Anolis sagrei: one gene and its partner. The protein of the gene in region 2 purifies or fractionates together with the protein of the main gene of each other region. This does not show direct contact. Links are inferred from orthologs where the notes say so. Each region holds a gene or a part of one and is shown on either strand. Other genes may lie near its edges.

Evidence for each region.
Region 1: the proteins of CD19 (region 2) and CD81 purify together in Homo sapiens (affinity purification with western blotting, with the first as the bait; 3 studies listed by BioGRID). This does not show direct contact. The link is inferred for Anolis sagrei from reciprocal best matches to the Homo sapiens genes CD19 and CD81.

Annotation. Positions count from the first base shown.
Region 1 is NC_090021.1:245,345,324-245,352,495, forward strand, and holds the start of CD81 (CD81 antigen), read left to right. Parts: upstream 1-4,125; 5' UTR 4,126-4,330; coding exon 4,331-4,396; intron 4,397-7,172. UniProt on the Homo sapiens protein: Structural component of specialized membrane microdomains known as tetraspanin-enriched microdomains (TERMs), which act as platforms for receptor clustering and signaling.
Region 2 is NC_090026.1:22,848,758-22,855,817, forward strand, and holds the start of CD19 (B-lymphocyte antigen CD19), read left to right. Parts: upstream 1-3,974; 5' UTR 3,975-4,117; coding exon 4,118-4,217; intron 4,218-6,786; coding exon 6,787-7,035; intron 7,036-7,060. UniProt on the Homo sapiens protein: Functions as a coreceptor for the B-cell antigen receptor complex (BCR) on B-lymphocytes. Decreases the threshold for activation of downstream signaling pathways and for triggering B-cell responses to antigens.

The sequences.
Region 1 (7,172 bases), on a different chromosome or scaffold from region 2:
GCTTCCAAACAGTGCCAGATCATGAGATTTCTGAAGCCAGTTCCACACAGCTGAATAAAATCCCACATTTTCAGCTTTGAACTGGCATATATGGCAGTGTGCAGTCAGATAACCCAGTTCAAAACAGATATTGTGGGTTATTCTGCCTTGATATTCTGGGTTATATGGCTGTGTGAAGGGCCCTGGGAGAAACATGGGGAGGGAAGGAAGGACTTTATTGTATGAATCTACTATTCCGCCACATTGAAAGTGGATACATACAAGGTTGAGCACCTTTGATATCACACCTCCCTTCGGTAGTGCGATTGTGCTGATTCACCAATTCATGGTCCTACAATCACACTTTCACACATCCTCATACCTCCATCTACCGGCTCTACTGCTGCTCCTTATTTTTTTATACTAATTTTTATTTTTATGCAGCATTGGGGAAAAAAAGCAAAAGAGAGAGAGAGAGAACACAAAACAAGAACAAGCCTTGGGATAGTGAGAGGGAGGGAGAAGGAGAATCCCGCTGCCTGATCTTACTTTACAGGAGTGGTTCTCAACCTTCCGAATGCCGCAAACCCTTAATACAGTTCCTCATGTTGCGGTGACCCCCAACCATAAAATTATTTTCGTTGCTACTTCATAACTGTAATTTTACTAGTTATGAATCATCATGTAAATATCTGATATGCAGGATATTTTTTATTTATTAGACCAAATTTGGCACAAATACCCGAATATTTGAATACTGGTGGGGTTGGGGGAGGGGATTGATTTTGTTATTTGTAAGTTTTAGTTGCTGGGATTTATAGGTCACTTACAATCAAAGTGCATTCTAAACCCTACCAATGATAGAATTGAGGCAAACTTCCCACAAAGAACCCCAATGACCAACAGAAAATACAGTGTTTTCTGGTGGTCTTTGACAACCCCTCTGACACCCCCTCACAACCCCCAAGTTGAGAAATGCTGATTTACAACATACTGATACAGAAATGGAAGAGACCATTGCAGCAATGTGACGGAAGCAACTGGTGAGTTTGAGAGAATCAAGAAGGAGGCAGATCAACCCTGGGATGCATTGTGGGTAAAAAGGTTTCCCCTGACATTAAGTCCAGTCGTGTCCGAGAGGTCATGAGTTCAAAGTCAGCCCAGGTTGGAGTAAGCTCTCGACCATTAATAGTCTAGCTTGCTGTTGACCTATGTAGCCTGAATGACAGTTGCATCTGTCACTTTAGCTAACTAATTTAACTAATTTACAATGCCATAAAACCTTCCAGCAGTGTGCGTAAGGATGAGGAAATAGTCCATCAAAGAACCCGGTGTCACAAGCGGCAGCTCCCCCTGTGGCTGGAACCAAGCATATTCTCACGAAGCCGGAAAACCTGGAATGTTAAATGGCCTCTATGTCTGTCTATATATGTTGAATGTCTAAATGGCATTGAATGTTTGCCATGTATCTGTGCATTGTAATCCGCCCTGAGTCCCCTGCGGGGTGAGAAGGGCGGAATACAAATACTACAAATAAACAAATAAATAAATAAATAAAATTAGTCTCCCCGCATAAGGTAAAGTTTTCCCCTGACATTAAGTTCAGTCATGTCCGACTCTGGGGTGTGGTGCTCCTCTCCATTTCTAAACCGAAGAGCCGGCATTGTCCGTAGACACCTCCAAGGTCATGTGGTCGGCATGATTGGAATGCTGTTACCTTCCCACATATGCGGTACCTATTCATCTACTCACATTCACATTTTCCAACTGCTAGGTTGCCAGAAGTTGGGGCTAACAGGGGAGCTCATGCCACTCCCCGGATCTGAACCTGCAACTTTTCAGTTAGCAAATTCAGCAGCTCAGCAGTTTAACCCACTGTGCCACAGGTGGCTCCCCTCCCCTAAATTTCCTACTTGACAGATGCAACTGTCTTTCGGGCTGCATAGGTCAATAGCAGACTGCATTTCTAGGTGCAAAGATGACTGCAGACACAGACTGCAGCCAGGAAATGAGGAGACACTTACTTCTTGGGAGGAAAGCAATGACCAATCTTGATAAAATAGTGAAGAGTAGAGACATCACACTGGCAACGAAGATCCAATTAGTCAAAGCAATGGTATTCCCCGTAGTCACCTACGGATGTGAGAGCTGCATCATAGGGAAGGTTGAGCGATGGAAGATTGATGAGTTTGAACTGTGGTGCTGGAGGAAAATTCTGAGAGTGCCTTGGACCGCCAGAAGATCCAACCAGTCCATACTTCAGGAAATAAAGCCCAACTGCTCATTGGAGGGAAGGATAGTAGAGGCCAAGATGAAGTACTTTGGCCACATCATGAGAAGACAGGAAAGCTTAGAGAAGACAATGATGCTGGGGGAAATGGAGGGAAAAGGGACCAACCAAGGGCAAGATGGATGGCCAACAGGGAGCTCTGGCGTGGGCTGGTCCATGAGGTCATGAAGAGTCAGAAGCGACTGAACAAATAAACAACTATTGTTTTTACCAGAGGGTACTGTGAATTTATGATGTTGATTGTTTATTGTCTACTTGTATGTTTTGTTTTGCACTTGTTGTATTTTGCATTTCACACTTTGAGTGTTTTGTAAGCCGCCCTGGGAGATGGTGGCGGGAAAGATGATGACGATGATGATGTATGTACAAAATTTGGGGTTGGGGGGGAAGATAGACACTTTTGAACTGTGGTGCTGGAGGAAAATTCTGAGTGCTTTGGACCGTGAGAAGATCCAACCAGTCCATACTTCAGGAAATAAAGCCCGACTGCTCACTGGAGGGAAGGATAGTAGAGGCCAAGATGAAGTACTTTGGCCACACCATGAGACGACAGGAAAGCTTGGAGAAGACAAAGATGCTGGGGGAAATGGAAGGAAACAGGAAGAGAGGCTGACCAAGAGTAAGATGGATGGATGGTATCCTTGAAGTGACTGGCTTGACTCTGAAGGAGCTGAAGGAGCTGGGGGTGGTGGCGGCCAAAAGGTAGCTCTGGTGTGGGTTGGTCCATGGGGTCACGAAGAGTTGGAAGCGACTGAACAAATAAACAACAAAATTGTGTTTATATCTGGGTGATAGTATGATAGCTGGGCCCGGAAGCTCCGAGCGTTACGCATATTCTGCAACGGCGGTTGTGAATAAGGGAAAGGGAGAGCGCCATACTGAGGGCAGGAATATACTTCGTAGTTTGGTGGAAGGATATAAAGAAGGGGAGTGTTAGGATAAAGTTTCGGACAGTGGTCCTCAACCTTGGGTCCCCAGATGTTTTGGTCTTCAACTTCCAGAAACCCCAACAGCTGGTAAACTGGTTGGGGTTTCTGGGAGTTGTAGGCCAAAAACATCCGGGGACCCCAGGTTGAGAACCACTGGTTTAGGATAAGGTTTAGGGTTTGGGGTAGGATTAGGGTTAGGATTAGAGTTAGAATTAGGCTTCGGGGTTAGATTTAGGTTTAGGGTTAAGGGTTAGGGTTTTACCATTAAAGAATTCTTATAATTCTATAATATCTGTGTTCCGTTCTGTGTTGCGCAAACAGCACTCCTGAAGGGGCAAAGCGGAAAGAGCGTAAGGCTCAGAGCTTCCAAACCCAGCTTTCATACTATTACCTATATTTGTTTATACCCCAGTGCTGGGGGTGGTGACGGCCGACAGGGAGCTCTGGCGTGGCTGGTCCATGAGTTCACAAAGAGTCGGAAGTGACTGAATGAAGAAACAACAGGTCAACAGCAAGCTAGACTATGGATGGTCGGGAGCTCACTCCGACCCCGGCCGGCTTCCAACTCGGTCAGTAGTGACTTAATGCCTCTGGCTACTAACTAGCTGCGCCACAGCTCCCACGATTCCACAGCAGGCAGCCATGGCAGTGTGGAAGCGCATGAATGTGGCAGCGCAGAGGCTTTGCAACCCCGGGGAAAGGATGCTCAGAGTGTGCCGGCCTTGCACCCACTGCGGCTTCTTTATAGGAGCCGAGGCAGTGCGGGTGTAAGGGAAGGGCGAGGGGTGGGGGGAGCAAGACTGGGATCGAGGCTGGGTCTGGGCGGCCTGTAGGAGGAGGCAAGGCGCTTCTGCCTGCCTGCCTGCTTGCCTGCCTGCGCGGCGGTGGGAGGGGGGCGCGGGGCTCGAGGGGCGGGGAAAGCGCGGGCCAAAAGCGAGGCGAGCGGGGCGAGCGAGCTCTGTAAGACCCGCGAAGGAGAAGCAGCAGCAGCCGCCGCCGCAGCCAGCCTACCCGCCCGCCCTCCGTCTCGTTGCAAGGCGCTGCCGCCTCTGCTCCTCCTCCTCCTCCTCCTTCTTCTCCTTCTCCTCCTCCTCGGAGCCCACCAGGCCGAAGCCCCTCTCCGCCCGCAGCCATGGGAGTCGAAGGCTGTACCAAGTGCATCAAATACCTCCTCTTCGTCTTCAATTTCGTCTTCTGGGTGAGTCGCCTCTCCTTCCTCTCGCTTGGAGATGGATGCCGATCACAAGAAGCAGCAGCATTGTGATTGCCTGCCTCGTCTCCCTCCCTCCCCCCCCCCTTTCCAGGCCAAAACAAAGCGGTAGATTTCGGGGTCTTTTCCTCCACATCAAGGGAAGGAGAAAGGGGGAGGATCGCCTGCTTGCCTTCCCCCCTTTTCCACCCGAAGGAGGCTGGGGATCCATGCTCAAAGCAGCAGCCAGCCTTGCTTGCGTTGGGGGAATTGCGACTTGTTGGGCTCGGGGAGTTGTGCCTAGGGAGTGCATCTGCACTGTAGAATTAATGCACTTTGGTCCACTTTTAACTGCCCCAGCACAATACTATGGGTTACTGTGGTTCCCAGTTTGAGGGGGCACCAGCCCTCTTGGGCAGAGGAAGCCAAAGGCCTTGCGAAACTGCATCTGCATTGTAGAATTAATGCAGTTTGATCCCACTTTTTCCTGCCCCGGCTCAATACTATTGGGTACTGTGGTTCCCAGTTTGAGGAGGCACCAGCCCTCTTGGCAGAGGAAGCGAAAGGCCTTGTGACACTACATCTACAATGTAGAATTAATGCAGTTGGATCCCACTTTTAACTGCCCTGGCTCAATCCTATGGGATTCTGGGTGTTGTAGTTTGGGGAGCCACCAGCACTCTTTGGCAGAAAAGGCTAAACGTCTTGTGAAACTGCAACTCCCATGATTCCATAGCATTGAGCCATGGCAGTTGAAGTGGTGTCGAACTGCCTTGATTCTCCAGTGTAGATGCACCCTGGGTCTCTGTGAGCCCATTCTATAACAACAGCAACCTCAAGAAACAGGGAGGAGCCTGGGTTTAACTGCAAGGTAGACCCTCTTCTCTCCCCTCCCTCCAGATCATAATAACATTTTTAAAGCAGTGTTTCTCAACCTTCCTAATGCCACGACCCCTTAATCCAGTTCCTCATGTTGTGGCAACCCTCCAACCAGAAAATCATTTTTGTTGCTGCTTCGTAACTGTCTTTTTGCTACTGTTGTGAACTGTAATGTAAATATCTGATATGAGGGATGTATTTCCATTCACTGGACTAAATTTGGCACAAATACCCAATAAGCCCAAATTTGAATACTGGTGGGGTTGGGAGGGGGGATTGATTTTGTCATTTGGGAGTTGAAGTTGCTGGGATTTATAGTTCATGTACAATCAAACAGCATTCTGAACTCCACCAACAATGGCATTGAACCAAAAATGTATACAACCTTAACAGAAGGAACAATTTCTATATAGGTTGAGCATCCCTTGTCTGGAATTCCAAAATCCTCCAAAACTGTCTACATGAGAGAGCAGCACCTTGGCTTTCTGATGTCTCAATACACACACGTTTTGTTTCATGCTTCAGGCTATGTCTGTAAGGTGTATGTGAAACATACACTAATTTTGTGTTTGGACTTGGATCCCATCTCCAAAGTATCTCATGGAGTACGTATATGCAAGTAAAGAAACTCCGAAATCCATGGAAATGTGAAAGCCAAAATAATTTGTTGACGGGTATGTTCAATAAGAAATACAACCTGTAGAGAAGTGTCACAAGAGAAAGTATACATAAAGCAGGCAGTTCTTTGCTCTGCAGGGACCACAATCTCAGCACCTTAAATAAAATCAGAATTTAAGATGAGGTTTGTAACTAATTGAATCATTATTACAGTATTTATTCTTCAATTTAAATGTATTCACAGATAACCATCAATGGCTACAAATAACTGGGTTGTTGTGAGTTTTCCAGGCTGAATGGCCATGTTCCAGAAGCATTCTCTCCTGACGTTTCACCTGCATTTATGGCAGGCATCCTTGGGGGTTGTGAGACCTCACAACCCCTGAGGATGCCTGCCATAGATGTAGGGGAAACGTCAGGAGAGAATGCTTCTGGAACATGGCCATTCAGCCAGGAAAACTCACAACAACCCAGTGATTCCTGCCATGAAAGCCTTTGACGACACACTACAAATAACTGTTTAAGAGTGAATACATTTTTGGGACACGATTTCTTCCTCCAAACAATCATTTAATTTTAAAATGGGAAGAGAAGGAAAAATACAAAGTGAAAGTTTTGCTTGAGTCTGAATCTGTTCTGTTTCCACTTTCAAGTTAAGGGAAAGGATTGTAGCCGTGGAAACAAAAGTTTCTTTTGCTTCTTAACACAGAAGTTTAACTGATCTTAGATGGAGATACATGCTGTGATAAAGGAACATATTTAAATGTTCAAAATTATGCACTAGAGGGAGATTTTATTTTTCTGTCTGGTAAACAACTTTTTTTAAGAGTCGTGTTTGGTATGTTGGGTTTTTTTGATTTGGATGGAAATTTTGGTATTTTTCAAAGTTGTTCAAGATTTTTTTAAAAACAACAATAAGCAAATTGATGAAAAATTAATCTTGAACTGTATATTTTTTTCCTGTTAATGAATGCTGAAGAGTTCTGTGGTTCATAGCCCGAGAACAGAGACAGCTTGGGGGGGGGGGGGGGGAGGGAGGGTGTTTGTGGGTGTGGAAGAAGCAACTAAAAATATTTGTGAGAAGTAAGGATGTTTTAAAATGGATGACTCTTGCAGTGCCTTTTCAGGCAGCCTCTCATGATCTCATCTTTCCTTCTTGCTTGGAGATTTTTGCACCAGCCACGCCCCGGGTCTCAGAAGAACTTCAGCTTGAGTTCCTGTGGCTTTGAGCTGAAAAGGAATTTGGATCTTGCAAAATAATATCAGGGAAACCTTGGAAGCCAAGTTG
Region 2 (7,060 bases):
AACAAGGGAAAGATGGATGGATGGCAACCTTGAAGTGACTGGCTTGACTCTGAAGGAGCTGGGGGTGGTGATGGCTGATGGGGATCTCTGGCATGGGCTGGTCCATGAGGTCACGAAGAGTCGGAAGCAACTGAATGAATAAACAACAACATATGGCATTGTAGACTAATATAGTCCAGCTCAAATCATATAATCTGGATGTTATCTGACAGTGTAGATGGGGCCTCACTATTTTGCTTCTGGCAGCAGAGGAATTACTTCCTAATTTAGTTGCTGAGTGTTATGTATTTAAATGTTCGAACCGGAAAAGGCAGCTTCAGGGTTTTTTTTTTTTTTTTTGGTTTTTTTTGGCAAAGGTTAGGAATCAGGAAATATTTCATTTCTGTAAGTCACATGATGGTTCTAGTTCCAGATAGTTGCTTAAATAAGAGGTCATCCTCCTTTGTGTCAGGCTAATGGTTAAACAAGAACAGCATAAAATGGGCTCTCGGCCCTGGTGATTTCTCTCTCTCTCTTTCCCCCCAGCAACCTTGTTTATTACATAACTGTGATAGAAATCATGCTACAATTTTAGGCTATGTCCAGTGCAGATTGGCATGTCAAATAATTTGCAGAGAAGAGGAATGTTATAGAAAAGAACATCTTGAACCAACAAAAGAGAGCTTTAAGATTTAGTATGACTACATAGGATGAGGAAACTGGCTCCTTCCCATACCTAGATTTCCCCTTCAAACACACCCTTTTTGGTTTTCGCTTTCGCTTCCCAGATGGTTTTTCCCCTAGCGGGAACTTGTGATTGGAAATCATTCCTGCAGAGACAAAAACAACAGAGAATATGAGACGGGAAGATTCAACTCAGCTGATGAGAGAGTTCAGCTTCCTTCTCCACTTGCCTATACATGTTACGCTCCACTTTAACAAATGGATGCATAAGTATGCAGCTACTTATTATCCAGAAGTGTGGAACAATCAAGCCAAGCCTCAACTTTTTCCATTCAATGTCTACTTTCAATCTCATCTGCTGACTATTAGAGCGGTGCACACATATCCATTTGTTCCATGCTGTAAAAGTATGTTCGGTAGTTGCAAATCCCCAGGGTCATTTGTTCATTTGATGATGATTTTGGACAAAGAGACTAACAGTGAAGGCATTGGTTTTATAGGTTTTTAAAGCTTTATTGTTTGTATTTTATAACTCTGTTTGAAATGTTATTTTAAGTGTTTATTGTTAAGGTATCAAATGGCTGCCTGATTGTAAACCGCCTTAAGTCACCTTCAGGTTTGAGAAAGGCAGGATAGAAATATCATAAATAAATAAACAACAGATATGCTTGTGATAATATAATAATAGTAAATAATAAACTCGGAGCGGCTTACATGAGGCCAGGCTCAAACAACAAATACAACAGAGTAAAACCGAAAACACAAATGTGAACAATAAACAACAAAATCTTATTTACATAAAGCATGTGAATACATAACAATATAAAATTACAGTAAGCACAAACACAGTGACAATGGCCGGGCTACATGTAATGATTAAAAGAAAAACTAATTAAGAACTAATTAACAACTCGGGCAAGATAAAAGAGAAGCAGGTTATAATGTAATGGTCCTGCATAATGTAATGGTCCTCTAGCCCAGTATCTCCTATTTACAGAGATTGGAAAAGTTTCTTCATCCTGTTTCCTGGCTACAGCTCCTAGAATGCCTTCGGGTGCATCTCCCGGGTAGAATTAAGACAATATCCCAATGTTTCTTGTAAAAGTCGCTGCCCATGGCAAGAGCTCACAGGAAACACAAAATGGCATCCTGTAGTTGCAGGTCTGCAAAATAAACCCATCAATGCACTCTCAAAGACATGAACTGCCTGAGAAAATTTATTTGGGGCTGCTACTTCCCCATTATCATGGGGTTGTTGTTGTGAAAGGACCAAGGCAGTGACATCTCCAGCTCATCCCTTGTTTGGGTATCAGCCAGCACGTCAACGAAATAAATCAAGAAATAGTTTTCTAAGATCTACAAAGACACTCGCTGGAACACCTCAGCAAGTGAGAGTCCAAAAGTGGCAGGCTCCAACCCAGAACCTCAACCAATGGCTGATACCAAATGAGAGACTCCTCTGGGCACACAGAAAACTGGGTGACGTGGAAGGCACTGAACAGACTGCACTCTGGCACCACAAGATGCAGAGCCAATCTTAAGAAACGGGGCTACAAAGTGGAATCCATGACATGCAAGTGTGGAGAAGAGCAAACTACAGACCACCTGCTGCAATGCGATCTGAGCCCTGCTACATGCACAATGGAGGACCTTCTTGCGGCAACACCAGAGGCACTCAAAGTGGCCAGATACTGGTCAAACGACATTTAATCAACTACCAAGCTTGCTAATTTTGTGTTTTGTCTGTTTGTTTGGTTTGTTCTGTTAGAAATGTAATACAATTATCTGGTTGCCCCTGACACGATAAATAAATAAATCATGGGGTTTTTGAAAGACCATCCAGATAGCACCTATAGTGCATGCCCTCCTGCGTTTTTGCCTGGAGCATCCAAACTACGACTCTGGGAAAAACTAATGCTTTTGGAACAAAGCAGGAAAACCCTGCTTTGTTCCGAAATAATTTGTCAGCCGGAAAGACCCGGGTCTTTCAGAAGACTCGGGTCTTTGCAGCTATGGGCGCTGTGTAGCTGGGACTGGGGATAGCACCGCATGACCTCCAGTGTCCATTTAATAATAATATATATAAACATGTGTACCAGACAGTTAAATGAGTTAAATCCATTATGATTTAAAATATCATGATGTGTTCTTTATTCTTATTTTTTCTCTGCAGGTGCAGAACATCCTGAGAATATAGGAATTTACACATCTGTCTCCTGCAGCCCGAGAAACCTGAGATATCCCCCCCCCCCCCCACAGGAAAGCCTTTTAAACAAAAAATAACTTACCCGGCTGCCATTCCCCCTTCTCCGGAGCTCTCCTGGGGTGTAGAAATGATGAGCCAGTAGAGGTGGGAAGGAGAAAAATTACTTCTGCCCTTCCTCCCTTTCTCCTGGCATGTCATTTCTATGCACCAGGAGATCCCCGGAGAATCGGGAATGGCGGCTGAGTAAGTTATTTTCCATTTTAAAGGCTTTTGGGTGGGGGTGGGGGGTTGTTAGTGACTTGGTGCCCTGCTAGAGAGTCCGGCAAGGCATCTGGACACCCACCCAGAAAAGCACAGATGTTGTGGGGAGGTTCTGGACTTCAACCTAGGCGCAATCATGTTTAAGAAATATGATTGCTCCCAGGTTTAAGGTCTTGTCTGGAACTGCTTCAGGGAATGCGGTCTGTGACACAAACCAAACAAGAAAAGGCCCAGGCTTCCGTAAGAGCTTCTAAAGAAGGAAGCTTCACCTGCTCTTCCTGTTCAAATGTAATGTTTTGTAACTTTTACTTGCGATTTGGTTATACTGTAACCTGTGTCAAATGAAGAAATGATGGTATATAAATCGCAGAAGGACATTTCCATGCATAGTTATGTATAAGTCGAGGACATTTGGTGGAGAGGGGAAAACACCAATGATGCCTCAAGATGCCAGCTGAGCCTGCTCTATTCTGGCATCCAAAAGGGCCAGAAAGACACCATGACAAAGAGAGTAGAGGAATTGGTCCTTCTTTTAGGTCTCTTGGGATGAGATAAACTCTTGCCTTTCACCACTCTACTCAGAAATAGTTCTTTTTTATTATAAGAGTTAAGATACAGTACTTGTATTGACTCATGGATAAATTGGCCCAGTTTTTTGAGTTGATTTCACGACTAAAATTACTAGACTTATACATGAGTATATAAGAAATAAACTTAGCAGGGACAATCTTGCAAAAGAAAAAAGAAAAGTAAGAAGTTCAGTTCTCATTTTCTTTGAGCTTACATCAGTTTAGCTGCAGTTCCCCTACCCTTCCTCCCTTGGGTCTTCTGTTCAGGCCTCAAGGGAACATGATGGGAAGTATGGTCACGCGCCAAAGAGGCTCTTCTTCTGCTAAAACAGCAAGTAGTTGAGAGACCGCCCTTCTGAGGCTGCCTGGGCCTCACTGTGCCCGGCTGGCATGCAGTGGAGCTGCTTGAAAGGAGGCCATGGTATCTGTTCTGCCTTACCTGCTTCTGCTCTGGCTGGGTTGTGGCGGAACAGCCAGCAATGAGCAGGAGATGCCAATGCAAGTTGTTGAAGCAACAGGTGGGTCGATGGAGATGGTGGAATGACATGGGTTTCTGCTATGAAGGGGGAGGCAGTATCAGTAAAGTGGACGTGTTGCTGTATAATGAAAGATTCACTAGTATGCTGCTCTGTTTTAGCGAGCCTGATGAACTCCATTTTGATAAAGGCTGACGTTTCCTCATGAATTGCATTGTTTATTGGGCCCTGTCATTTCTGCTATGCTAGAAATGCTGTAAGGTAAAGCTAAAGCTAAAGGTTTTCCCCTGACATTAAGTCCAGTCGTGTCAGACTTTGGGGGTTGGTGCTCATCTCCATTTCTAAGTCGAAGAGCCAGCATTGTCTGTAGACACCTCCAAGGCCATGACTGCATGGAGCACCATTACCTTCCTGCAGGAGCAGTACCTATTGATCTCCTCATATTTGCATGTTTTCAAACTGCTAGGATGGCAGAAGCTGGGGCTAACAGCGGGAGCTCATGCCACTCCCCGGATTCGAACCTGCGACCTTTTGGTTAGCAAGGTCAGCAGCTCAGCGGTTTAACCCACTATGCCATTGGGGGCTTCGAAATGCTGTAACTGCAAAAAAAAAAAATTGCATAGCACCAATAACAGGTCTCAAAGACCAGAAGTTATAGTTATATACAGTGTCAGATACTGAGAACATCCTCTTAATTAACAACCAAGCTCTGACTACATTCTGAGCTCGGCATACAGACCTCAGATCAGGATGACCACATATGCATTAGATATTCCTCATGCATACTTTGTGTTTGTCAGTGTAATTCTGTAGTTCTATAAAATACTGATGCTTGGAATAAACTCTTATCTCAAACAGTGCTGTGAGTAGATTGGACTGAAAGCAGTGCTGGGACTTGAAGATCCTTTGGCCAAAGTTATTGTTTGTTGGGTTTTTTTCTCCTTCCTGCTCCTTCTAGCTCTATGTTCCACATGGGACTTATAGAAGGATGTATACCCAAGAGAATCAGGAACAGAGTGCCTTTGAGCATGTTCAGAATGGTTCCCTCTTATTGTGGTCAGCTTCCAAGTATCTGGGATTACAAGCAAACAGGTTTCTTGCTCAGAAAGCTTTGTTTATAGTTGAAAAGTTGTAATAGCTGAATTTCCTTAGTGTTTACTCCCTACTCCATTTTTCCTCTTTTATTCTGGCATGTCTTTGAGACTAGAAACCTGTGTCATTTGTAATCTTTTTAACCTAAACAATTAGTAGGAACAATCATAGACATTTTTCAAGAAGGTCTGAGATAAAAAAAAAATATTATTGAAGCTAATGTTAGTTAGGGGCGGTTGCAGTATGCCAACCTAACAGTTCAAAAACATGCAAATGTGAGTAGGTACTGCTCCAGCAGGAAGGTAATGGTGCTCCATGCTGTCATGCTGGTCACATGACCTTGGAGATGTCTATGGACAACGGCAGATTTTTGGCTTAGAAATGGAGATGAGCACCACCCCCCAGAGTAAGACACAACTGGACTTAATGTCTGGGGAAAACCTTTACCTTTACCTAATGGTAAAGGTCTTTGTCTTTGCCAGCAAAGACAAATACCAGGATGGAATCACCTTATACAAATATCATTGGTTTAAAGGTATTCTCCATTGTAATTCTGGGTCAGATATAGAGGAAAGAACGGGCAAAATCACTCTTGAGTGTTCCTTTCCTAAGAAAACCTTACAAAAGCCATGAGATCACCATAAGTTAACAAGCAACTTGAAGGCACATACACCAAGAATATCCTCATCATAGAGCCTGTAAAAAAGTTAATTTTGGACTACGACTCCCAAGATTCCCCAGCCAACATGGCCATTGGTTGTGTTGAATCAGGAACCTTGAAACTCTAATTAAATTTTTTAATGACGTGGAATTAAAAGTGTTTCTTTGCCCCCATTGTCAGAGGTGATTGGCACCAGATGATTTGAAACTCCCACCCTAGAGTTTAACATGCTAACTTACAATCTTTCTAGTTTCTCAAACTTTTTAAAAAATAGCTAGGTAGTGAGGGAGGAATTATTTCTTCATCTAATCCAGGGGTGTCAAACCATTTTCATCAAGAGCCACATCAGCCTTGTGGTTGCCTTCAAAGGGCTGTTGAATCCATGGAAAGTGAATCCATGGATACAGAGGACCAACTAAACTTTTTGTTTTACATGTTGTCAAAGTTTTTTTAAATTTTTTATCCAGTTTGGTTCCTCAGATATTATTGAACAACAACTCCCATCACTTTTGATTATCCACCATGTGGACGGGGAAAATGGGGATTGCAATTCAACTGCACTCGTGGCTCTGAGGTTGGGGGAAGGTTAAAGGACATTTTAACATCAAACATCATATCCACAAGCCTTGTATCTAAATTCAAACCTCACTCTCCTGATAAGACAAGACAAACTGCAGCCTTCCAGATGTTATGGTGTCATAACTCCCATCAGCTTTAGTCATGATGTTGAATGATGAGAAATCCAATTGCAGTCCAGCATTTGGAGGGCAAGATGACATGACATGGCAAGCTGGATTGTAACTTAGGGCCTTGAGAAAATTTACACTGAAAATCTGACTTTTTTGTCTCATATCCCAGAGTCTGATACAGTAATTCTGCCCTGCCCTTTTGATCCTGCACTGACCTCGGATTATCTGGATTTGACTTGGTTCAGTCCGTCTGGGGACCTGCTGTTGTACACATATGTTCAATACCTTCAGTCAGGCGCAAGACTAGGTGACATGTGGGGACTGTTGCTCTACAACATCTCCAGGCAAGATGATGTTTGGTTCACTTGTCAGTGGAATGGCACCTTGGGAACAAACCACACACTCCCAAACGGGACTGGTAAGTATTCTCATTGTTCAAAGTG